3 linked regions of the Drosophila melanogaster genome follow. The gene in region 1 interacts genetically with each later gene. Each region holds a gene or a part of one and is shown on either strand. Other genes may lie near its edges.

Region 1 (9,586 bases):
TGGAATGCTAGGATGTCGACGCCTGAGGGACGACGAGTGCTGATGAACCGGATCCTCAAAGGACGTCACAATTTGTCACACTAGCCTTGTGTTAATAAACCTAACTTTATTTACAATGTTATCCGATTGCGATTGCTACAGTAAGCTCAGTTTTAGTTTCGTTGATTCGCTGGTACTCCCAGAAAGGCTGGCGCTCGATGGTAGATCTGCTGAATACTCTTCGAAGATTTCGAATCGTCAAGGATGAACACGAAGGGCACACTGCTGGACACACCTTGGCCCTGATCCCGAAGGAAGCCCTGCGGCAGGGACTGTTCCCCGCCGAGGATAAGACAATCCACCAGGGACATCTTTTGTAGCGGCATTGCTGGCACCAGGTATAACTCCTTGCGCTCGTAGTCGATGGCGCGAACCACACCTAAAAGAATTTTGGAATTCAATTAATAAGCCACAAAAGAACGTGAATGTGTACAAACCTATTCCCAAACATTGGGGCAGACCTGCTCCGTGATGGCACAGATATACTACATTAGCCTCCATGCCTCGAATCAGTTCTTCGCGCGAGTAATTCTTGCTGGTGGGATGCAGGATTTTCAGGGATTCCAAAGACACTCCCAACGGCTGGCAGTCTGTAAGAGATTTGGCATTTCCAGTCAGGCAGGAACTGAGACGTGCCAGAAGATTGGAGTACCGCATGTCCTTGGCGCTGAGACTCCAAGTTCCTTTTTCCCTTGCAGGCACTGCACTTATCAGCTTATGGAGTGTGTATTTTGGTATTTCATTGATCTTGAACTCCTCCGCAGAGTATATAATTGGTTTTATCTGCGACAGACTGTTCCGGTCGAGGACAGAATCAAAGTTATTGATTGGAATGGGACTGGCAATCTGTACAAGATCCGTGGGACGAATGCGATCCACCAGCAGAGCCATCAATTCGATACCAAATCCCTTATTATAGCCCATCGTATTTATCAGCCAAGGAATATTTGAATACTTGGCATCGTTCTGAATGTTTTGGACTAGCTGAATAACTGCTCGGGCATACTGCTCTGCGCACAAGACAATGTTGGTGTGGCCCACGACAATGGCATGTTCCGGCTGCCTGTTGTACAGGAAGCCCGGTCCCAGAAGGGGCTCATCAATTACGGTGCAAGAAATAGTCTGGGGTACAAATATTTCCGGCTGACCAATGTCCAGGTCGATGAGCAGCATGGATGGGAATTGACCCAGATTTCGGTTGATGAGGTAACGCAATAAACTAGACTTTCCGACGCCCTTACCACCGGCTACGATTATTCGGCTCGTTGCATGCATTTGTAACTTATTCCAAACCTGCGGAACTTGGAGAGTGCGACTTTGATCGCTCGATTGAATCAGACAGTGCAACAGGGTTTCACTTTGGCCAAATGGTCGATTGGAAGAATTGACAAGTGGGAATACATTTTGCGCCATGTGCTTGCCAAAGGTATCGACGAGCTGCTGGGCACTTGTGTTTCGGTGGAGCAGTACTATTGCATTCGTCTGACGCTGAAAGCTGGTCTTAATCCTGTCTAGCTGGGCGCGTGTAAAGTTCTTGTTGAGTTCTTCCCAATTTACCTCATCTTTTACAGGTTTTTTAGTCTTGGTTGGCGAAATAGATACCCAATTAAGGCCTTTAGGAGAATAAATTGTGATTGCTTCCTGCCTGCGTGCTCTGTAACCATTTACTGATATTTGACCACAGAGTAGAGTCAACACTAGTGTGCCATAAACTTCGAGGTCCTCCTTAATCACGGCCAGCACATGATTGCTCTTCAGACTGTTCTCAAAGACGCTAAGCTCAGTGGGATTCGCTTGCGGATTTCTGTAAAACGGGACATCGCTTGGTTGGAGATAATTTTCCTTTTCTGGTGTTACAACTTCAGGCAGTGATACCTCATCATTCTCTTCGGTTTCAATTGCAACTTCAGACTCCTTCTTTGGGGGCACACTGCTTAAGTTTTTTACAACAATATCCATAACACTTGACTGTTCAATACGTTCTTGCTTTTTTTCCACAGGCGGATCGTCGAAGATTTCCTCTATAATAAGCGGCTCTCTTTGCATACCCACAGGTGGATGATCGAAGAATCCCTCAATGTCAGGTGGCTCATAAGTTGAATCGAGGTCGTCGGTGTCGAAGATATCGCTTCCGAATTCTTCACTATCGCTGTCACTAACATCCTCCATATCGCTATATTCACTGTAGAAATCTCCATCACTATCATAGTCTGCGCTGCTTGTGTCTTCACTGTCAGACTCTTCGCTGTCAAATTCCTCCGATCCAAAGTCATCGCTATCTTCTGGCTCATAATCAATGTCATCTTCGTCGCTGTCAGTTTCTTCCTGTGCACTTTTAAATACCTTAATCTTTCGAACTGTTCCACTGCCATCCCCATCCAACAAAAGAGGTTGGTATTCATCGTGTTCAAAAGGAGGAAGAATATCTGATAACTTGTATTCGGGGCCTTTGCATTTGACCTTAAAAATCTTTGGATCTTTAAGAAATGTCTCGTCTATTTCTTCAACTACATCGTTTTCAGAGTCTAAAAAACATAGTTTAAGTTAAGAAACAAGAGTAATATTAAAAATTCCTTACCACTTTCAATTAAATAATCGTCTTCTTCACTCCAATCATCCAATGAATTCATTTCAATGTCACTTGTTTCCGCTGCAGTACCAATTATCTCTACTACTTTACCATTTTGTACGACCTTCATTGAGCTCTTGTTTCCATTTACCTTATGTTTCTTAGATAAACTTGCTTCTTTTGTTTTATTTGGCGTCTTGACTTTGGTTTTCTTAGGAGCTAATTCTGAAAAATACATATATATTAAAATAAAATGAGGTTGTAATTCTGGATCTAATGCATACCATTTATACTATGAACCTTGGGAATAGGAAGCTTAGCACTTTTGCTTGTTGCTGCAGATTTTTTAGCTGCAACATTTGAGGATTTATTTACAGGATTCTTTTTGGGTAGGGTATTATCCTTTTTAAGCCTCTTCTGGGATGGTGAACTGTCTGGATTCGACACATTATTGGAAAGAGGTCTCTTTGCGCCGGCTGTCTTATTTTTCTTGGATTTTTTGGGCGACTCCATCTGGGCTTTTTGAATCATTGTTTCCGAAATCTTTGCAGGATTGCTGGCCACCTTTGAAATAACTTTTTTCTTTGGAACAGCAGGTGGGTGTTGTGGTTTTTCCGGCTTACGGCGACCAGAGGCTAGTTCTCGCTGTTCGGTGAGCTGGAAGCTCAGTTTCATTTCTTTCAGAATATGTTCGTCAAGCATTCCTTTTCAGTTTTTTGCTGAACTACCAATACTTCCCGGGCCATGCGACCGCAAATTTAAGAAGAAGAGCAAGAATAACATATGTGCGGTGTTACCAGTCGTGGTCGGTCATGGGAATAACGCGCACAGAGTTGCCATCGATGAGAACTATCGATTGGGTTAATAACAGCCCTGCGCTCGAAGGCGTTGGTTGGTCATCGAGCGTTCATCCCGCTACCGAGAAATGAAACGGATGAACATTGTTCATCGTCATTTTGCATGGGAAAAAATCGTCGAGTTCAATTCGAATTTTTGTAATTGCATTAACTTTTATACGATATAGCTAAACGGTAGACGCATAAGAATCAACAAATTTGTGCCATTTTGTAAGCAAATTAAGTGTCGAATTCGTGCTGAGTGTTGTGAAATCACCAATATAAATTGTAAGTGGCCGAAAGAGCAGAAGTGAAAAAATTCCACACAGCACGCACACAAATGCACGCACGCCCAGCCAGAGGCGAACAGACACACGCACACACACACACACACAGCCATACCGAGAGTGGATGATGAGATGTTTTTGGAATAAAGTGTGAGCGGGACGGGCGCGGAGAGAGGAGTTTCCTGGAGTGTTGGAGAGAGGGGTGGAGAAGCGGGCGGCCCTATGACGCGACCAAAATGAAAATGCGAATGCGAAAAACCGTAAAGAAAAACGGGAAAAACTCGGCTAACGGACAATGGACAATGGCCAGATAAGAAAGAACCCCACACTTTATACTATTAGATCGCCGTCCAGCCGCAAGTATGACTAAGTGTGTGCGCGAGCGGGAGAGGGCTATCGGAAAAGAGAGCGAGCGCGCGAGTGTATTTGTGCTGTGTGTCCACCAGTGTGCGTGTGACTGTATGCGAGTGTGTGTGTGGCTTTTTCATTTTGATAATTTTTTGAACAGGCGCTCGTTCAGTTTTCGCGAATATATAAAACAGAACGGCTGACTCGGATTCGGAATCGAAAATTGTATTCGGATTCAGAATCGGACTCGGAATCCTCGGGCATCCGCTGCACTTGCATTGCATCTAGCTACAGTTTGATTTTGCCTTTTGCAGAACTTCCAATGACGACGATTCGCAAGAAATTGGTAATTGTCGGCGACGGTGCCTGCGGTAAAACTTGCCTTCTGATTGTCTTCAGCAAAGATCAGTTCCCCGAGGTCTATGTGCCCACCGTATTCGAGAATTATGTGGCCGACATCGAGGTGGATGGCAAACAGGTAAGCCCCTTTTCCCGGACAGGCCCGCCCCTCCCCTAACTACCCGTCCCGTCCACCACTCTGAATGCCACCCCCAACCGGTGGCTGACCCCCCTCCCCTGATAACCCCACCCTGCCATCCAAGTGATAATCGTCTGATCTCGTTTTATAATTTGTGTGCATTCTCAATTCATTCCGTTTTTCAAGTGCGCGTATCCTCCTTACACTTTCCACCCGCCTCTGTGTGTGTGTGTGTGTGTGTGTGTGTGTGTGCGGGTGTGTGTTCCCATGGGTGTGTGTTTATTGTTCTCTTGTTTGTGCCACCCACAACTTCACCCACACCTTGGTCGTTGTATTTCCTTTTCTTCGCCTGTAAAATGAAATGAGTCAATATCGCCTCATGCCCACAGACGCATCCATAAATAAAGGTGTCTGGAAAAGCAAAAGAAAAATTAAGATCATTTTTGGTTAAGTGGAGTGCAAATTTGGATTTTTCCGAAGAATTCAAAGTTTTGATAGCAGTGATTAAGTCACACTTGGGCACATTTCCCCACACTTACACGCACACATGCTCAACAGAGAGTTGGCAGCACACACACACACACAGAAGTAGTGCTGCTCCCTTCCTTCCGCTCGTTTTCTTTTCTTTTTATTTTGTATTTGTCTTATACAAGTCCGTTGCGCACATACAGTTTAATGCGTTGCGCCGCCCCCCGCTCTTTCTGCTGCTCTCTCGGGCGCTCTCACTCTTACTCTTTCTCCCTGCCTACCTGTACTCTCTTCTAAGGGGGGGGAGCGCTCTCCCGCTCCACCGCGCACTCCCTTACTCTATGGAATGTAATGTGCGTTTTCCATTGGGGCATCAAGTCATGATTTGGCTATATGTTCGTTCATATATTCCATTTGGGATCTACAGTATTTTCAGGCGCTTTTTTTCGAAATAAACACTGTGTGTTTGCCTTTGCTGCGCAATATGGCGGGTTTTCAATTTTCAGTTTCTGTTTGTGTTTCTGTTTGGATAGCGTTTACATACACACAAGTTCACGTCATTCCACTTCGCCTCGCTTCGATGTGATTAATTCGTTTGGCATTTCCGTCAAGTTCCTTGCTCACACTCTCGTACTCGCACTCATGCTATCTTCAACTCGAACTTGTCCCATTCTCCTCCGAGCCCGCATCGCACCGTCCCGTGCCACAAAAAGCCCCATCTATCTATAACCCTGACGACACCGCAACTGCAAGCGTAACTCTCAATCATAATCCGCATCCGATTCTCCAGGTGGAGCTGGCCTTGTGGGATACGGCCGGGCAGGAGGACTACGACAGACTACGACCGCTGAGCTATCCCGACACTGACGTCATACTGATGTGTTTCTCAGTGGATTCACCCGATTCGCTAGAAAATATTCCTGAAAAATGGACCCCAGAGGTGAGTTTAACTGGAATTACAGAACAGTTTCTATCAGACGATCGTAAACAAGTATGGTACTATATATATATATACTATACGGAACTAACAAGTCTAGACAAAATATGTTTTTAATTTTTATGTAATGATGCAAATTTGGAAAAAGTTGAACTTTTAACTCCAGTTAAAATATATTAAACATTTTTGAAGTTATCGAATGCATTTGCTTATGATATGGAATCTTTAAGACTATGCATCTCTGTGTTCTTGTTTATGTCATTGAAGCTATCTGAAAGACTGGTTTTGGTTTAGAACGAGGAAAGTTTAATAGAATTGTTGGTTATTTCTAGTTTAATCACTAAAAATAGTCTGCTATGAGCCAATTTGCTTTGACTTTCTGAATCATTTCCTTACTTCTCAGCCTTTAATTTATAATGATAGATATAGATAAGAAGAAAGTAAGTGGTTCCCAATTACGAATTACTTGTTTTTGCAGTTCGACTATATGGAATCTGATATCAAAATATGATACTAATCCTTACTACATTATTGCAGGTCAAACACTTTTGTCCAAATGTTCCAATCATTTTGGTAGGAAATAAGAAAGATTTGCGAAATGATCCCAACACAATTCGGGTACGTATACGCGCTGTTGAACGAGGTGAACTTGCAGCACTAAACTAAACTTGATTTTACAGGATCTAGCAAAAATGAAGCAGGAGCCGGTGAAGCCGCAGGAGGGTCGCGCCATGGCCGAGAAGATTAATGCCTTTGCCTATTTGGAGTGTTCGGCTAAGTCCAAGGAGGGTGTGCGAGATGTTTTCGAGACGGCAACTAGGGCCGCGCTGCAAGTCAAAAAGAGGAAGAAGACCAGATGCCTTTTGCTCTAAAAGAGCAAATCAACAACATGAAAATCTTTACCACACACACACACAGCAAAAACAACAGCATAAACACACACAAACACACATACACACCTTTTACAACAATAACGAGCTGAACAACAACCACTCAACAACAACATCAAGAACAACCAGAACATCGGATACACGAAGCTGCACCACCACCCAACCAGCAACAAACATGAGCAGAAAACAGAGAGCTTGAGCTAGAAGATCAGCGGAGGAGGGATGCAGCGAGATATAAGGGAAGGCAGCACCAAGTAGAATGTCAAATGCGGATTTGATTTTATATACAGTCTAGTGTAGTTATAAACCGAAGTAAACAACAGTAATAACTCTGGCATTATTATTTGTAAAAACTAGGGCAGAGCAGATCAATCAGTCAGCCACTGCAAGCAAAAAATATATATCGATATATGTAAACATATTCAAGTTGTGTCCGTTTCTGTCCACCCCCTCCTCCTAGATGTATGTTATTATTTCGTTAACTGTGTTGTCAAGTGTAGAGTCGGCTGTGGCTGGACGAGATTGTGTCGTATGCGAGGGTGAGTGAGTCAGGTGAATCAGTGGAATTAGGAACAGAATCGGAAACGGAATCGGATGTTGGATCCCGGGGTCCAAGGAGGTCGTAGGCGTCAAGATGAGAGTTATGTTCCCATTAAATCTATCAAATACAGAGAGACCAGGCCGCCAATAGGAGTTGGAAGCGAAACTACATTACAAGAGCCGAACTAAACACAAAACAAAACAAAACAAAAACGATAAATGTTTATTTAACTAAACGTAAGCCACAAATGAGATGCATTCAGTTTTCGCGTGGGAGATGCTAAGAGGGAAAATTTTTGATGAAGTGAAAAACTATTTCGAGCGCATTAAGCGAGTTTTTAATATTTGTACTTTGCATTAAAACGAGTGGAAAACATAAAAAAAAAAAGATACTACAAAACAACCAAACAACTATATGAAGAGTATTTTATGATTTTATAAAATACGATTATACATATAATTATACTATACAGTACATATGTGTATGTCTCTTTTTTTGTATTTTGTACCGTCAATCGTGTAATTCTCACACAGAAGTTGAAAAACTCGAAGATGCATCAGATACAACCAAACTATATTATACTTATGAATAAACAGTACATTTGATCTACTCTTGGTTTAACTAACTGTTTTCTTATTTGGCCGGGCATCGAATTTTATTAGGCTAAGATAATGGATTTAAATCCGGGGAATACCCGCCCTTTAAAGTCAAAACACTTATCTTTAACGGGGTTAAAAAAATCTTTATTGAGGGTATTGTTTTTGTTTATTTTGTGCTTTTGTATTTAATTTTTTTTTTTACATTTAAAATGTACATAACATTATGAATCAAAATGTTTTGGTTTTTCATCGATTAGGTATTAGGTTTCACAATATTATTCCCGAACAGGTATGTCGTTTTCGAAACAACATGGACACGACACATTGCTTTGAACATCTAGTTCCCAAGCCTTTTCTCTTAAAACGTACTTTTTAATCGCTTAACTTTCGCGGCGAAAGCAATTCTATTATATTTCTACCCGCATTTGATTCGTTTTCGTGTTGGAGCTGTTGTTTTTCTTTTTTTCGTCAGTCGATCTGTTTGGTTCGAACGGTTGCAGGATTCGCAATAACAATTAATTATTAGTAATTATGGGTAGTCCATTCAACTGTTTTTTGGGATCATGTAACAAACAGAGTAATTAAAGCCGTGTTAGTATTTTGTTTCCGGTGATGCAGTTAACATTGATGAGAGGAACTCATGGTGATTGCTTAGAGAACGTGATGTGTGGTTTCTTGTGGTAAAAGTAATCAACAGATTTCGTTAAACTAATAATAAATAAACTTAGGCGTAACACGTGTGTCCTTAACAATATAAACAATAGACTTTTCTCAAACTTAAACAACAAATGCATCGGCTGTCGTGGACTTAAATTATCAATTTGGGCTTGGATCTGAAATGAACGCACATTCTCATTCATATTTCATAATTTGCAATGTTCCCGCGTTTTACATACTTCTTAGGTCGATCGATCGATTTATAATATTAGTATACATTAAATTCAACATTTATTCGATTAGTTAAATGTGTGGCTCGTGTAACGTATGTCATGTGCGTGTATTCTGGGTAAATACGTACATACATAAGTTTAAAAATCCTCCAATTCTCTGCCCTTCGCACCTGGCAATTGGCTTTTGGGTTAATCTCCTGGCTAGGATTCAGAGTTGTTCAGATTGTTAGTGGGGGAAGACTCGACCCCTCGATCTTGCTGAATTTAAATGCTTTTGAGCTTTAGCCAATTGCCACACTTGCTTAATCGCTCTCGTCTAGGAATCAACATTAGTAATATTTACTACATAAACATATGTACGTGCATTGTTAATATGTATCTTTTGGATCGGTGCTTAAACGTATTGATATACTCTATCGCTGATCTACTGCCTCGCTATCCTTTCCGGCCAACAACAAGTACTTTAAATAGTTTCCATAACAAATAATAAATAAACCACTGTGGCCATAACAATTAGTTATCTGCTCCTCGATCGGTTAATTTCTCTTTTGTATGTTGTATCTGATGGGTATGTGCTATATACAAAATATAGCAAACAAAAGTTACTTGGTTTTTGTGGTTAATATTGCACTCATTTCAAGGAATCCGCCTCCTGGTCTAGTTAAGGTTTCGTCTGCGCCGGAAAACCAATGCGAAAATGGATC
Region 2 (7,493 bases), on another chromosome or scaffold:
CAGCGAGCACAATCAAAGATTCTGAGAACCATCACTGGGGCACCGTGGTACGTTCGGAGTGAAAACATCCAAAGAGACTTAAATATCCCATCAGTTACCAACGCAATCACGGAACTTAAGGAAAAATACCATAGCAAGCTTCACACGCACCCCAACCACCTAGCGCGAGGTCTAATCCAGCTCAGCAGCCGTTCCCGTCTCCGGCGAAAGGACCTACCAACCCAGCGAATAAATTATTAGGGCCGTTTAAACATAGAACAGTTGGAAAAATAATACAACTGTTCAAAAAATACTTGTTATAGTTAAGATTTTTAAACTTATTGTTAGTTCTTATACAAGAAGATTCAATAAATAAAAGCAAAGTTAAAAAAAAAAAAAAAAAAAAAAAAAAAAAAATATCTGCACTCAGAAAAAAGTTTTTTAAACGTTTCATTTTTGTTAATAACTTATTTGCATTTTAATCGTTTGGATTTAAAGCATAAGATTTACATATATAAGAATTTTTGTTAAAACGATTTTGCACTACCAAGTTTATAGTAGTAGTAATAAAAAGGAAATAAAGAATTTATTAAAGGCTTGTTCTAAGTTCTAATTTCCATAAATAGCATGCTTCCTAAAACCCTTATTAACTGCCATTAAAACCAATTATTCCCTAAACAGCATGAATGAAAATAGGTGAGAAAGAAGTCGCTGCTAATTCAATTTTCCTTTCGCTTATCTAATGAAGTTCATCTGCATTCGGGGTGTTATTTTTACCCTTTATACCATTTTAATTACATTAAATTACATATTCCAAAAACAGACACGGCAGAATGACAACAACAACGGAATCACTTTCCAACAAAGGAGTGGGAGCGGAAGAGGAGCACAGACAGACAGAGAAAGAGAGGCACAGAGCAAAACGTCAAAGTTCGTTCACTTGTAAACATAAAATGAGCGGCAACTGCAAAACAGCAGCAATACCAACAACAAGCGGCAAACGGAAACCGACTGAACAACAACAATGGAGACCCAGAAGCCAAGACATACATGCACTGGAAAAAAATTTATATCAATATTTAATTTAAATTTGTGATATGTAACCACACATCGTAGTAAAAATCTACTCATAAATATTATCATATATGTAAATAATGAATTGATGGGAAATTTTATCTTAAAGCGAAGAAATTCGAAAGATATGTGCTTAGACAGCTTAAAATCGTTAGTAGTAGTAGCCTTTAACATATTCCAAGCTCCTCTACGGAAATTATAAATTATATGTTTGTTTATTATTATAGTATATAAGTGATTTTAAAAGTGCACTGCTTATTTATCTGAAAATTGTACTTTAATTTTTTGTTAAGTGTATCTAGCGATTGCAAGGGGGAGACCGAGAAAAAGAGCCTTTTTATGCGGCGCAACTTTGGCGCTTTTTATTAAACAAGCCGACGAAGTGTAGAAGCGAAGAATAGGATGAGGAGGTGGCGGTGGGGGAGAACTGGGGTTGATGGAGCCAAGAAGAGAGCGGATAAAAAGAGCAAAGCATAAAATGAACTTTGCCGGCTAAACCGGTAACACTTGTTTAACGCAAAAGAGAGTGCGGGAGAGCCAGTTATGTGCTGAAAGAGATATGTTAAGTAGAGAGCGACAGAGACAGAGAAAGCCTGATCGGAGAAAAGGGTTCTACAGGTGACAAAGACAAAAGACTGCCAAGACTCCTTTAATGTCATCATTATTGTCAATATAACAAGTTTATTGACTGGCAGCAGATGCCTAACCCCCCACACCTCCCTTGGCGATCCACCACGGGGTCATTAGACAAATTCCCGCGATAAGTTCTCTTCACTCATGCTAAAGCTCAGATTAAACGCAAGTTAATGACTTAATTAACTGCCGGAAAAAAGCGAGCAAGTAAACAAACAACAGCAAAAACTAAAGATAAAGATAAATGGTAAATGCAAGTGCGCAGAGAAATGGTCGACGATAAAAATTGTCGCAGAAATCAAGGAAATTAACGCGTGCAAATATGTATTTCTATAGAGGAAGAAAGCTGGAGAAAAGCAATTATTATAGGTATATTCCAGTAGAGGGCAAATGTCTTCTAACGGCACTTGCAACAGCTGAAGATTACCAAAGAACAGTGGGAAGTGTAACGGGCATCGATGGATTGATATAAAAAGATAAGAAGGTGCGGTGACCTAAGCAATATGACATTTTAGAAACTGAAAAATATTTAGCTGACATGCACTGTAACTTTTTGACATTCGGACATAAATGTTGTATACTCATTTCGTTTTCGGATATGTATCCCATTTCAGCAAGGATTTTTTGCTGGCAAAATGATTCTAGTCTTTTTATATTGGAGCCATTTTAAATGCAGCACTTATTTCTTTTATTCATTTTATAAGCATAAGATTGGTTATAATTTATTATATCGAAAAAATGGTTAATTAATTAATATTTAAATTGGAATCTATAAATATTTAAGTATTTACAAAGTGAATATCGATGTTCAAATTTCCATTGAGCGGGCCCAACACCTAGATTTGGGCACAGCTTCCGCCCCTAATTTCCTATTAGCCCTGTCGATTGCATAATCATCTTGAATTCTAATTAATTAAATGGTCTCTTATTTAGTTGTTTGTTGATGCTTTCTTTTTCCTGTCTGCTAATCAACAGGAGGCCAAGAAGTTGAGAGGAGACAGAGTGCGAGCGAGACAGCATCCAAACAAAAGGCATAACAGCCCTGTCTTTCACTTCGCTCTCTTTGGCTCTCTGGCTCTCCCGCCGAGAGTGTCAAATTCAAGGTCGCCCCCAGTGCTATACTACAAAGCGTATAGCTGAATAAAACCTCCTCTCACACCATTCGAGCGAAAGAGCGCATATTCAGCGTGTGAGCAGGAGAACGATACGGTGAGAGAGCGGCTTGGAAAGAGCCCCATGTTTTCAGTTCCTCAGTTTGTCAGCGTATGCCCTACCATGCGGATGTGCTCGCGGATTGATTTCGACTCGAACTCCGGCTCCGTTTTCGTCTTTTAACGTAAGTCCCGTGCGAAAAAGTTGAATTCGACTCCGTGTTTGTTCAGTTATTTTTTTGCGCGGTTTTCGAAAAAGTGAAAGAAATAAGGAAATTCAAAAAGCGGGGGAGGCATAAATGATATACAGCTAACGGTACTTATGTATGTGCATACAGCAAGATAAAAATGTGGCTGCTAGAAAAGTAAAGCCCGGTACTGTGCCAGATAAAAGCCAACGCTACTAAGTCCTAAAGACCCCCAAAAATTAAATTTTGACACAATAATATTTTGCCAACAACAAATAGCAAAGTCGAATTCAAACGGTTAAACCAAATTGAAGTCGGAAAATAACAAAAAAAGTCTAAACAAAATAAAGAGCAAAAGCAAACGCAAATAAGAGAATAGAGAGAAATATTTATTATTTGCTTATAAGGCCAAACTAAATATTTGCCGCCGGCAAATATTTAAAAGGTGTTAAGTGTTTCGTGGGAGTGAAGTTTTTAAACAGGGAAAATAAATCAAATAAGTATTCAATGGTGTATAAGTGAGTGCAAGTAGATGAGCAACATGTGTGTGTTTTAAAGTGTTTAAAGAGATCGAGAAAAAGCCCCAAAAGTTATTTGACAGCGATATCGAAAAATTCCAAAATGTGGCGTCAAATCCTGTTTATTTTACCCACCCTGATACAGGGGGTCCAGCGCTACGATCAGAGCCCCCTCGATGCGAGTCCGTATTATCGCAGCGGCGGGGGATTAATGGCCAGTTCTGGGACCGAACTAGATGGACTGCCACATCACAATCGCTGTGAACCCATCACCATATCGATCTGCAAGAATATACCATATAACATGACCATTATGCCAAATCTTATTGGCCATACCAAGCAGGAGGAGGCGGGTCTGGAGGTCCATCAGTTTGCTCCGCTCGTGAAGATCGGCTGCAGTGATGACCTCCAGTTGTTCCTCTGTTCCCTGTACGTTCCGGTCTGCACAATTTTGGAGCGACCCATTCCGCCTTGTCGATCTCTGTGCGAATCGGCGCGGGTATGTGAAAAGTTAATGAAAACCTACAACTTTAACTGGCCGGAAAATCTGGAGTGCTCCAAATTTCCCGTCCATGGAGGCGAGGATTTGTGCGTGGCGGAGAATACCACATCATCGGCCTCCACGGCGGCCACGCCCACAAGGAGTGTGGCTAAGGTCACTACCCGTAAACACCAGACGGGCGTAGAAAGTCCGCACCGAAACATTGGATTCGTGTGCCCCGTGCAACTGAAAACGCCTCTGGGAATGGGCTACGAACTAAAAGTTGGCGGAAAGGTAAGTTCTTTAATGAAAATAAATTCACTAAAAAGCGCCGAAAAATAAGCATCATATAAAAATAGGGGGTTATAGGCGCATACTGTATACCTTTTAAAACATTAGTTTTCTATTATTTATGCATTTAATTTTATGATTAAACATGTTATGATTATGACAAAAGTTAAAAACAAGTTCTATAATCATCCGTCGGGTGAGCACAAACTTTTAACCATGTCCAAACTAAAAACGAAGTTGCACAAATAAATTTTGGGTACTAACATCTGTTTAGCGAATGTATTTAGCGCTTTCTTGACTAAATGTATGCTTTAAGTACCCCAAGCCTTTTAGTGAGTATTTCGTTTATTTCTGGAACTTAATATGCCACATTTGGGTTGGTCCCATGTAGGTCAATGATTTTTTTATGTCTTCATTTGAACTCCAGACTCAATTTGTAGAGCAGCGTAGAAGTAGGGAAAAATGCAAATCCTGTTGCGCCGAGAAAACAATTTCCAACCACCAGGGAAAACAGCAGGAGGTCCTTGGCAGGCCAGGAATAACGAGAAGAAGGAGAGAAGGGCGACGAGCCCGCATTCTACCTGCCCGCAGCTCACAAAAGATGGTTAACAGCGGCAGGTAGATCGTTTTTTCTTTGGCTTCGGTTGAGGAAAGGTAAACCAGTTCTTTTTGGAGTTGTGTAATTTGTAATGCCTGCTTAAAAGTATTCCCAAAAAAAGTAAAAAAAAAATGTAACATGAACCATAGAATGTTTAATAACTTGAACTGAGGGTCAGCCTGTTGCATTTTCACGTTCTTTAATTAATTTTCCACCCTTTTCCTTTAGCAGCTTTTTTTCGGGTTCTTAAGCCCCTCAGCAGACTGATTTTTCCACGATTTATTTTCTGTTGGTTTTGGATGAGTGATGATCATCGTCTATGTGTTTCCAATGTGTTTATCTTTTGCTATTTTTAGCCGTCACTCTGTTGTTGCCGGCTGCCATAAGTAAAGCGCATTAAATACTTTGAGGCAGGATAATTCACACTTCCCTCAGTGTCTGGATATCTGGCGGATACATGTGTATCTCTTAGCTACTTTACCATTGCGATTTCTCGGTGTTTTTTCTTCTTTCGTCTCACTCGCTTTTTCTTGATTGGTCTCGTTTTTCCTTGGCTGTGTGTCATCAGTTCCTCTTGGCCTTGCTGCCTTCTTTCCATCCCCATATCATCATGGCTGTCAGCATCTTTGGTTTAGCCGGAGTCCCCAGACCCCGTGCTTAAATGCCTTTTGAGAGCTGCGTGCGAAATTTAGCAGCTTGTTTGCCTGGATTGCATTTGGCCCACATCACGATTCTGTCTGTAAGAGTATCTGCAAATGAATCCGTATCTGTATCTCTGTGTGTTTTGGCCCTGTTTGCCGTGCTTTATGAGCTAGATAGGTCTCTTTGTCTGCTAATGATAATGGCGCAGTGTGAGAGCGTGAATTAATGCTTATTGGATAGATAATGATCCGACAATATAAACATATAATTGCCATGTTAGAAACTAGTGGTATTAACAAGCGTTTTATAAGGGCTCCACAGGTACAGATAAGAAATTGGTCGAAATCAAAATTATAAACTTTATGATTAATAGACAAAGAACTATATTTTAACCCAGAGAAATATTGATTGATATTAGAAAAGACTATTACTAAAAGTTATTCTATTCAAACCGAGCTGTGAAAACACAATTGTCGATTGGCTATTTCATCTCGAATTCCTAAAATAACATTATTGCCCGACACCTTTGAACGATTTAACCCAAAGCCAACTTTTAACATGTTTCCTAAATTCAGCAGAGTATATTAAATATTAATTCCATTCATCTGGGCTAATTTTTCAATTTTCCTCTTTGAAATTTTCCGATTTGCTTGTCAGTCAGACCTTTTTGACTAAATTAACCAGTCACTCTCGTTGAAATTCGTGCCAACAAAAATCTGGCATACAAAATATGTAATTTCGCAAATCAATTACCCAAACCAAAGGGCAAAACACGGCCGGATGAATTAGAGTGCGAAATGCCGAATGGAATTAGTTGAAAATTCCCTCAGTCTGTGCTGAAATAATCATAGGCGAAAACCCGTAGGGCATGACACAACTCAACCCTTTTGCCGCATTTCACAGTCCTTTTTCTTGGCCTTTTCTTGCCCCGAATCCATTATGCAAAGGCTGCGGTGCGGGGTAGGAAAATCTGTTTTCCATCTGAAAGGAAACTGAGTGGAAAGCCAGCAGTCATAAGAGGGCACAATCAATTACGGATTCGTTCACAATTAAAAGTCCTGGTTGGGGGCGAGTCTCCGCTCCGGATGAATCAATTTAGGGCCTACAAATAATCCCCAAATCGGACTGATTCTCTTTCACTTCACCCCCTCTAAATGCGTCGAAAGCGTTCTAAATGAGGCTTTTAATGGATTTACGATTTCCTAAACAACCAAACTGAAATCCTTCCCGCCTTTCCGCAAACTAAACTGTTGTCCTTTCGCGCTCTTTGATTAATTTATTTTCGGCCGCCATGGGTTAGGCGGTGTTTGCAATCGGGGCACGGGCATTCTGGATAAAAGTGGGCGGTGGGCGGTGGGTGGCGTTCGTCTGGTTGCCCAGTTGTCTACACATGTAGCCATCAATCGGACATTGCCCCGCAGTAATCTGTTTGCTCTGAAAAGGTTTTGACGTCATCTAATGGTATACGTTTCGGTGGAATTCGACACGGAAAAGGGATAATGATGGCCGGAAGTAAATGGGAAGCTCAGTAGGATATTGAAGACATAAACACAAATACCAACGATTTTTCGTTGGGAAAATATAGACACTCAAACAGTTGAGCTGAACAGTAATTTCAAAACAATTGGCAGAATGAACAAAAATCTAAAGGATCACTACAGACTTCATCTCATATATGTATGTCACATAAGAATATTTGTTATAATACAATTCTATAGAATACGATTTCTGAAGGGATCAATCGATAACTTTTTTGTTGATCATAGTATATTTGCTTGCAGTCTTATCTCAGTTTTACATAAAAATAAATACAAAACAAACGTGTATAAAAAACAGCATTTACGGAATATACCAATAATCCCTAAACTACTCGACTTGTTTTTATTGCCCAGCCACTTTTATACTCCCGGCAGTTATCGACATCATTACCAGCAGCTC
Region 3 (7,481 bases), on another chromosome or scaffold:
CTGCATTCGGGTCTTGAGAAGGTCCAACGGCTGGACAATGCATGTGGCCAGCATTCCGGAGGTTCCGCCCATCACGAATTTCATGTGGGTGGGTACCGTCTTCTTTTCAACCCCGTAAACCAGCGCCATGTGGAACAGGACAATTGGAAGATATAATAAGTATGTTTGGGAAAAAGAGATGTGAATTGAGAGTGTATGGTTGGAAACGAGCCAAATTCGTATGTGGGGGTTTTTATGGAGTTGACATCCACAACAAAGCCTTCCACAACAAGCAAGACTTTTTCCCAAAAGATAATTCTTAGAGGTCCTCCACTTGACCATAGTTCTTTCAACCAAAGGAGAGATCCAGTCCATGGAAATGTTCACAACTGCGCGTTGCCTTGCGGATTTGGGTCGTCGTGGCATTGATTTTAATTGTGGCAGTTAACAGGCCAACACCTTTGGCCAATTAACGCACCTCTATAATTTTCCTCACATGCCAGATAATTGTGCCAGTTTTGGGCCACCCACAAATTAACGAGACCCTGGCAAGCGGCTTATTATCTGTCTCGTTGGCAATTCAACCCTTTAACTTCGCCTCCTCGCTTGTCACCCTTTTCCCGCATTGATGAGAGTACACAAAATGGTTAGGCATCGTTGGAAATGCAATTAGAGAGCAACTCAAACCGAAAGAACACTTTACAGGAGGTGCAGACGAGGCCCTCCCAATTAGACAAGCCGAAATTGTTATGTCAGGGTAGGGCAAAAACCAAACCGAATTTCATGTACTCGCAACTGGCGTATCGACAACTCATTGCGGGCTAATTAGGAGCTCATGCGGCGGCAAAGACCAACAAAATATTGCTGGGAAAAACAGAGAAGCGATTGCTGTCGATTTTCTAACCAAGCAAAAGGGGAAATCGCATGCGATAACGCAATTACATCACATTTACCCGCCGAAAAGTATGCAGCGAAACTTCTTATTTGCCAGTTCGTAAAAAGCCCGAATGGCGCCTTAGTGTCTTAATTAACGTTGTTACAGTGATACCTTGTTATAAAATACAATAGACCATAAGTACGCAAACAAAATTGTCCTCAAATAAGCATCGCAATTTTGAATTTATTGTTTACAGCTTTTTTAATTTTTATAGTATTAGTATTTGCTTATACAACCAAGTTACATTTTTCAGAGAACAAATAATTTCTCTTCACATCAAAAACAACACGAAGCTTTGATTGTTGCAATCACTCTTAGTACTCGAATATCAATAGTGTTATCGAGGAACATTTGGCAAATTAAGATAAACATACTCAGAATTCCCTAAAACTTGAGGCGTACTTGTGCTAACTTGGCTAACGATGCAAATGTTGTTATCAAGCAGTTTACAACATAAATACTCTAATTATTTATGTGCATAAGTAAAAGTGGGGCAACAGTCTGCAGCAAATGCAACAGCAACAATAACAATGGCACAATGCAATCAAACAATCAGAGACAAGCTCGCTGAACTGAAATGCCAATTGTGAAAATTGTAAATAAATATTTTAACAGACGACGGCAACAACAAGAAGTCGGGAAACTACAATAAATCAGATCATATCGGCGGCCAACTGCTGCGGTTTCAGTTGTGGTAAATATATATATATAGACATATATAGCTATATATGGCAGATCCAGCAGCAGAGCAGCCCTACAAGCGTGGAAGGCATGGGGCAGGAAAAACTGTGAAAAGCTGAAAGAAAAATCGCAAAAAGCAAACGACACAGCGACAACGATGACAATGCTGATAATGGCCCAAGGAGAAGGTGCGGAGGAGCGGCAGCATTATGGTATCCAAAAGAATAGCCTGGAAACCTCAGAAATTTACGCTCAAGCGAAGCGAGCTGAACCAAACTAAGTTGAGGTGAAGCTGTTGCTAAAAGGAAAATGACAATAACAGCTGCAGTTCCAGCGCCCTGTGTGAGAGCCCAGTAATGACAAAAAACTAACTAGCACACTGAAAAAAATGGATAACTTAGCCATAAAGTTCTCGGACATAAAAAATTATTGGGAGCTGGTTGATGAATAAGTACATTTTATTATCTGTGCATATTGATTTACAGCCTTTTCCAATATACGAAAAAACAAACAACAATGTATTTGTGATTTTGTGAAATATGTTTATTATTATTTTGTTTATTATATAAATTAGAAATTATACAGTTTTCTTAATCTTTATGTATTAAAAATGATTGCCTTAATTATCACTTAGGCTCACGTTAAAATATTCTATCAGTGTAAAAAAAAGCGAGGCATTAAGTACCGAACCGTTAAGAAGTCATTCGAAGTTGGATAGACCAAAAAAAGCTGAGGCGTCTCTAAGCCGCCCTGCGAGTGAGCGAGACCGCAGTAGGTGGTAATTTCTGGAGTAAACAGAGCGAATTCAGAGCTAAGTCCGAAAACAAAACTTCGAGTGAGAGCAGTGAGAGCTGCAATCGTAATTGCGCTGGGCTAGAGAGTAAAAGTCTTTGAGCAAACGAGAGCGTCGAGTAGCGAAAGTTAAAGCCGAATCGTAGAGCAGAGATCAAAAGATCTGTCAGATCTAAATAACAGAAAGAACATCCGAAAACCCAAATCTTTCGGGGAAGTGTGTCATCAAAAAATCGATAATAAAATAATTTTGTGCTTTTCTTACTCTCTCGTTTCCTCATAAGTTCAATGCACAATGAAAAAACAGTTATTTTTGGACAATAAATCAACGGCAACAACAGACTAAAGATTCTAAGCACAAATAAAAAAAAACAACGGCCAGAGTCGAAAGACTCAGGCAACGAACTGCGATCATCGGAGATGAAAATAGAGAGAGAGAGAGAGAGCGCGCGCGATCTGCTTCGTTTTTGCTTTTCGAACTCAGAGCGGCGGACTTTTCGAACTCCAAGCTGTCCGGCAGCTGAAACTTTTGGTCATTCGTCAGTTAACCGTCGTGCAGCTCGAAACGCGACGCGATCTGTTGGATATATGCAATCCAACGGTGATATATAAACACGATTCTTCTTCGCCGAAGAACGAACGTTTTGTGTGTGTTTGTGCAGGTGTTAGTGCGCGGTGTGCGTGTTACCATTTGCATTTTGGCTTTTTAGCTTTTAACTCGCTTTTTTCGTTCCATTTCGCCGCGTTGCATTTGCTCGGCGATTGCATTTCTCGGTTTCTTCGCTTTTGGATCGGCTTTCGTTATTTTTGGTTGAGGCCTTAAAATAGCCTTTGCCGTAATTACTGGGCTGGCCGCAAGAAAACGTGTTTGTGTCTAAACTACAGTTACAACCAGAGCAGCCGTCGCAGCTGCATTTCACTCGAATGTGCTTGCCGAAAAGTAGAAAATATAATAAATAAGAAAGAAAGAAGAGAGTGCTCGCTATATAGAAGGAAAAACGTCACTCGGTGTATACGTTCTTCTTCTATTTGTTCGCCTGTTAACATTGTGCTCATAATTTATTGTACCCAGCGATATGCAAATAGAAAGCAACAAATTTGTACAGCAAGTGGAATATTTCAACGTTTAATTTGGGCCCCGAAGAAACCCAAAAAGGTAAGGCAAATGCATTCTAATAAACGAGAAAATAATATAATGCCAACAAACTATAGATATTATCCCCCCCAATGAGCATAAAGCTAATGAGGTAAATTGTGAAAACATCTGAACTGCTTAGAACTTGATTTGGTTAATATATTCATTAGTATACATTTCTCCCGCTGACGATTTGCATATCAGTTGTCTTCGGTCGCAGGTTCATAACTTCTGCTTCTGTTTTGGCTGGCTAAGAAAGCTTCGGTTAGATCATCGCATCTCACGTTTTTCACCGCCGAATAGATCGATATTCCTGCCTCACTGCGAACCCCTAAATAACACTTGCTGCACGATTGAACTTTAAACCGCATTCTTGGCCCGTCTGCTGCCTGGTTTTCTGTTTTTCTTGGCTCTCTCGGTCGGACGCATCTATCACAGATCGGTGAGTGGTGGCCAATTTTCAATGGATCGATGCTGCCTCGCTCCGTGGGAACTCTTGACTCTTGAGCCCCAGAGTTCGGGCCTGGCATTTTGCGGCACACATTTTAGCCCTGGCTAGCTAGCAAAAACAGAGCCAAAAACAGGCTTACAGAACAGGAATTTCCACTCCTACAACAAATCCGCGGACAATTGACATTTTTGTGTAATTGCCACATTTGTTGTTGTAATTTTGGTTTTTTTTTTCGAATTTTCGCAGATTATTGCCTTTTAATAGTGAATTCGTCGGGCTTAGTTCAAATTTAGCAATTTACATATTTAAATGCATTGTTAATAGCCATTGGAAAACATATTAAGTAAATAATAAAACATTTGGCATTTTGCTTTTATATATTTATTTATTGAATAATTTTCTTAAGAAATCTTCATGTTCAATGATTTTTAATCGTCAACAATTAAGGAAACTAGTAAATTTAAAATTGCAATAGATTAAGTTAAACTTAAACGAAGATCTCCGGTCCGAAGATGTCCATCTTGGAGAACTCTCCTGTGGAGGATCGAGGTTTCGGTGGAGTGCATGGCGCCTTGACACTCACAACGGGGGCGGATGTGTTGGCACTAGCATCGACTTTGTTGACGGAGGAGGAGCGTTTGCGTCGCATGTTCTTGAGCTGATCGCGCAGCTGCTCCTTGTAGACGAGCTCCCTCTTGCAGGCCCTCAGATCCTCCATGCTGCAGTGCTTCATGTGGCGGATGGTGCGGGACACCAGTCCATCGATTATGTGAATCTTGGTGCGGGACAGCCGCGTGGGTTCCGCATGACGGCGGGTCAGCTCGCTCTGGTACTGAAAAAGTAGATAGCCCACGCTCGGACGAGCTCCGCGTCGGTGGTTGGCGTTGTTACGTTGGGCTTCCATTTCAGATAGAATAGCTCCTTTGTTGTTTTTTTTTGTATAGACTTCAAAATGCTGGCTGCGACAGGACAAGCTGTGACTGCTTGGCAGCTTGAGCTGTGAATGATGTCCCTACGTGGTTTACCAGGATTATTTATATCTGGGGCGCTTAGCTACCTGTTGACCCGCCGACTGACCTGCTGACTTGTACGAGTCGCGTAATTACCTGAAGTGCTCCGGTAAAACCAGAGATCCTTCCTCCCTTTTTTGATCCCTTGCCAAGTTGACATCTCAGGCCAAAGATACTGTACATCTTCCTTGCACACATGTGGGTAGTGCTCACCTTGCGCGGCATTTGCTGGGGTGGAAATGGTTTATGGCTTGACCTTTTGCTTTAAGATATTTCAGTTGAGCTGGCGCTGAATAAATATGGGGATAAGGAAAAGATTAAAACGGTGACTAAGTGTCTGAGGATTGCGTTCAAATCGTTTTAAGCTTAGATTAGATAACTGGTGGAAAAGTTATCAATGAAATAAATAAAATTTAAGGTAGCAGAAATGCAGCTGAATGAAATTTAAGTAAAAACCCACAAAAATATTTAAAATTAAAATATTTATGTTAAAGTGGTTATGAAGTTTAAAGATATTTTCATATGTTGTTTCATTAACAATTAAATGAAATATATCATTTTGATTTTTTAATTCATTTACGAATAATAAATTGTAAAAAATTAATTTACTCTATGAAATGTAATAACTTTTCTGAAGTCACATGCTTGTTTTTATTGCTTAAGGATTACGCTCAAATTGTACGAAAGTTTGCCTTTTAAGTCCAATCCCACTGCAACTAAATAAATTCCCTCTCAACTCTCGGCAAATGAAAATCATTTATATTTAATGAGTTGCCATGAAGTGATAAATATAATCCCAAAGTGGCACTCGTCTACTCTTACTCCTGTTTTTTTTTTGTGCCCGACAACCAACCCACTTGTGAAGGACTGCGTGTTAAATATTTATTTATGAACGAATGTCTGCGACCTTGTCTTAACCCCCTTGGTCATAAAAGCGATTTACTGTGGGCTGGTTAGATGGTTTTAAAAATGCTTTTCATGTAATTGTAATTTCACTTAACGTAATTGACACGCGGCCCCCGCTTTTAAAACGCTCCCAATCAAGTTAATTTCAACTTAATTACGAGCGAAGGAAAGTGAAAATTCCCTTTAGCATTGTCTTGTGGCTTATCGAACGAATTCTTCTTAAGACAATTTATTGGCCTGCATTAAGGCCGAAATAATAATAATGCTGGCTATAATAGCTATAACAATGACCAGTGAAAGTTGCTTGGTATTTTATGATAATTCTTTGGTGAGTAAATAAATGATGATTCAATGCCCATTTGGGTGCTAAATGCAAGGGCCGCGAGCTGCGATGCGCCAATGATGATGATGGCGAGATGTAGCCATCATTATGATTGTCTCGTCTGGTTTAATATACGATGGAATAAATGCCTCGACACGCACCGACTTGGTGCCCCACCATCAGATCGAATCCAAAACCAAATCCAAGTCGATTGCAAGTTCATTGAGCGCGTTGAATTGGAAGCTGTCGGCGACTTGTCAAAAGCAGTTGCTCATAATGTCTGCTAGTCAGGTCAGCAACGCTTCGATGGCCTTTTTAGTCAGCCCCTGGGCCACCGTTATGACCTTAGCCCACCAATGTACCTGTCCCTACCTGCATAGCCTACCTTACGATCATAAAATGAGCAGGGGGAGGATAAGGCCGAGTTGCCGCTGCCTTGAGGGGTCATAAAACACTGATGCTGCACATTTGCTTAATCCGGCGCGTGGTCTTTCCCAACGTTCTTAATCCGGTTTCGAAATCCTTTTGTTTTCGCTACATTTCAGCTACTAAGTGCAATTATAAAAGGATTATGCCATCTCCTGACCCAAAGGCACACTCGACCCGAGCATCCACTTTAGTTATGAATTACCTGGAAGTAGTTAAGTCTGTTGCAAAAACTCCCTGGTCTTTCGGGAACTGCAGTTATGCTAATGATTTCCATTTACATACGCTCCTTCCTCTACGACACATGTGTAAATTGACGTACTTTACGTTGATGTCACTCAGGTGCTGAGTCAGAAAATTCTGTTTGCTGTCTTACGTGGAAATGGTTTTTAGTGCTCAGAGCTTCTACGCTGGCGGTTCATTGAGGTTCCCCAAGAATTCCGTGGAACGGTGGCCGGTGAAAGGTCTACTTTGGGTAAAATGCAACGAACAAACAGCGAAACACAACTTCTTGGGAGTTATACTAGGAATTTGTCGGAATGCATGGGAAAAGCGATGGGAAGCGCTATTACAAAGCTCACAGAACATTCTTTGTTATAATAAATTACCTTAAGCATCTTGTTAACACATATTTGTACCAATTATTAAATAACTATACATGCATAGATTTAAAATATGAGAAGTTATACTTATACTATTCGTGTCGTAAGATAGGCATACTATTTGGGTTAACCCTCTCTGGTAGATCCTTAAGCCACTTCCTCTAAATCCTGTTCCAGAATATTCTGTTGAATGTTTTGGACAAGTTCATGCGAGTTGCTTTGCAGTATTTCATTTATTTA

The links.
Region 2: of Rho1 (region 1) and fz, changing one suppresses a phenotype caused by changing the other (phenotypic suppression), as found in Drosophila melanogaster (3 studies listed by BioGRID).
Region 3: of Rho1 (region 1) and RhoGEF64C, changing one suppresses a phenotype caused by changing the other (phenotypic suppression), as found in Drosophila melanogaster (2 studies listed by BioGRID).

The regions. Positions count from the first base shown.
Region 1 is NT_033778.4:16,099,218-16,108,803, forward strand, and holds Rho1 (Rho1), read left to right. Parts: upstream 1-3,469; 5' UTR 3,470-3,675; exon of another isoform or gene 3,676-3,732; intron 3,733-3,879; exon of another isoform or gene 3,880-4,091; intron 4,092-4,248; exon of another isoform or gene 4,249-4,393; 5' UTR 4,394-4,401; coding exon 4,402-4,557; intron 4,558-5,815; coding exon 5,816-5,965; intron 5,966-6,499; coding exon 6,500-6,580; intron 6,581-6,642; coding exon 6,643-6,834; 3' UTR 6,835-8,012; downstream 8,013-9,586. Other genes in the region: mRpL34 (mitochondrial ribosomal protein L34), read left to right, coding at 1-84; CG8414 (uncharacterized protein), read right to left, coding at 153-418, 477-2,564, 2,618-2,833, 2,893-3,310; Ric (Ras-related protein interacting with calmodulin), read right to left, coding at 9,540-9,586. UniProt on the Drosophila melanogaster protein: Has a role in regulating actin cytoskeletal organization: required during early development for proper execution of morphogenetic movements of individual cells and groups of cells important for the formation of the embryonic body plan.
Region 2 is NT_037436.4:14,271,409-14,278,901, forward strand, and holds the start of fz (frizzled), read left to right. Parts: upstream 1-2,934; 5' UTR 2,935-3,646; coding exon 3,647-4,318; intron 4,319-7,493. UniProt on the Drosophila melanogaster protein: Receptor for Wnt proteins.
Region 3 is NT_037436.4:4,689,861-4,697,341, forward strand, and holds the start of RhoGEF64C (Rho guanine nucleotide exchange factor at 64C), read left to right. Parts: upstream 1-2,922; 5' UTR 2,923-3,545; intron 3,546-4,344; exon of another isoform or gene 4,345-4,462; coding exon of another isoform or gene 4,463-4,879; exon of another isoform or gene 4,880-4,985; intron 4,986-7,481. Other genes in the region: CG18418 (uncharacterized protein), read right to left, coding at 1-129; CG15876 (uncharacterized protein), read right to left, coding at 4,463-4,879.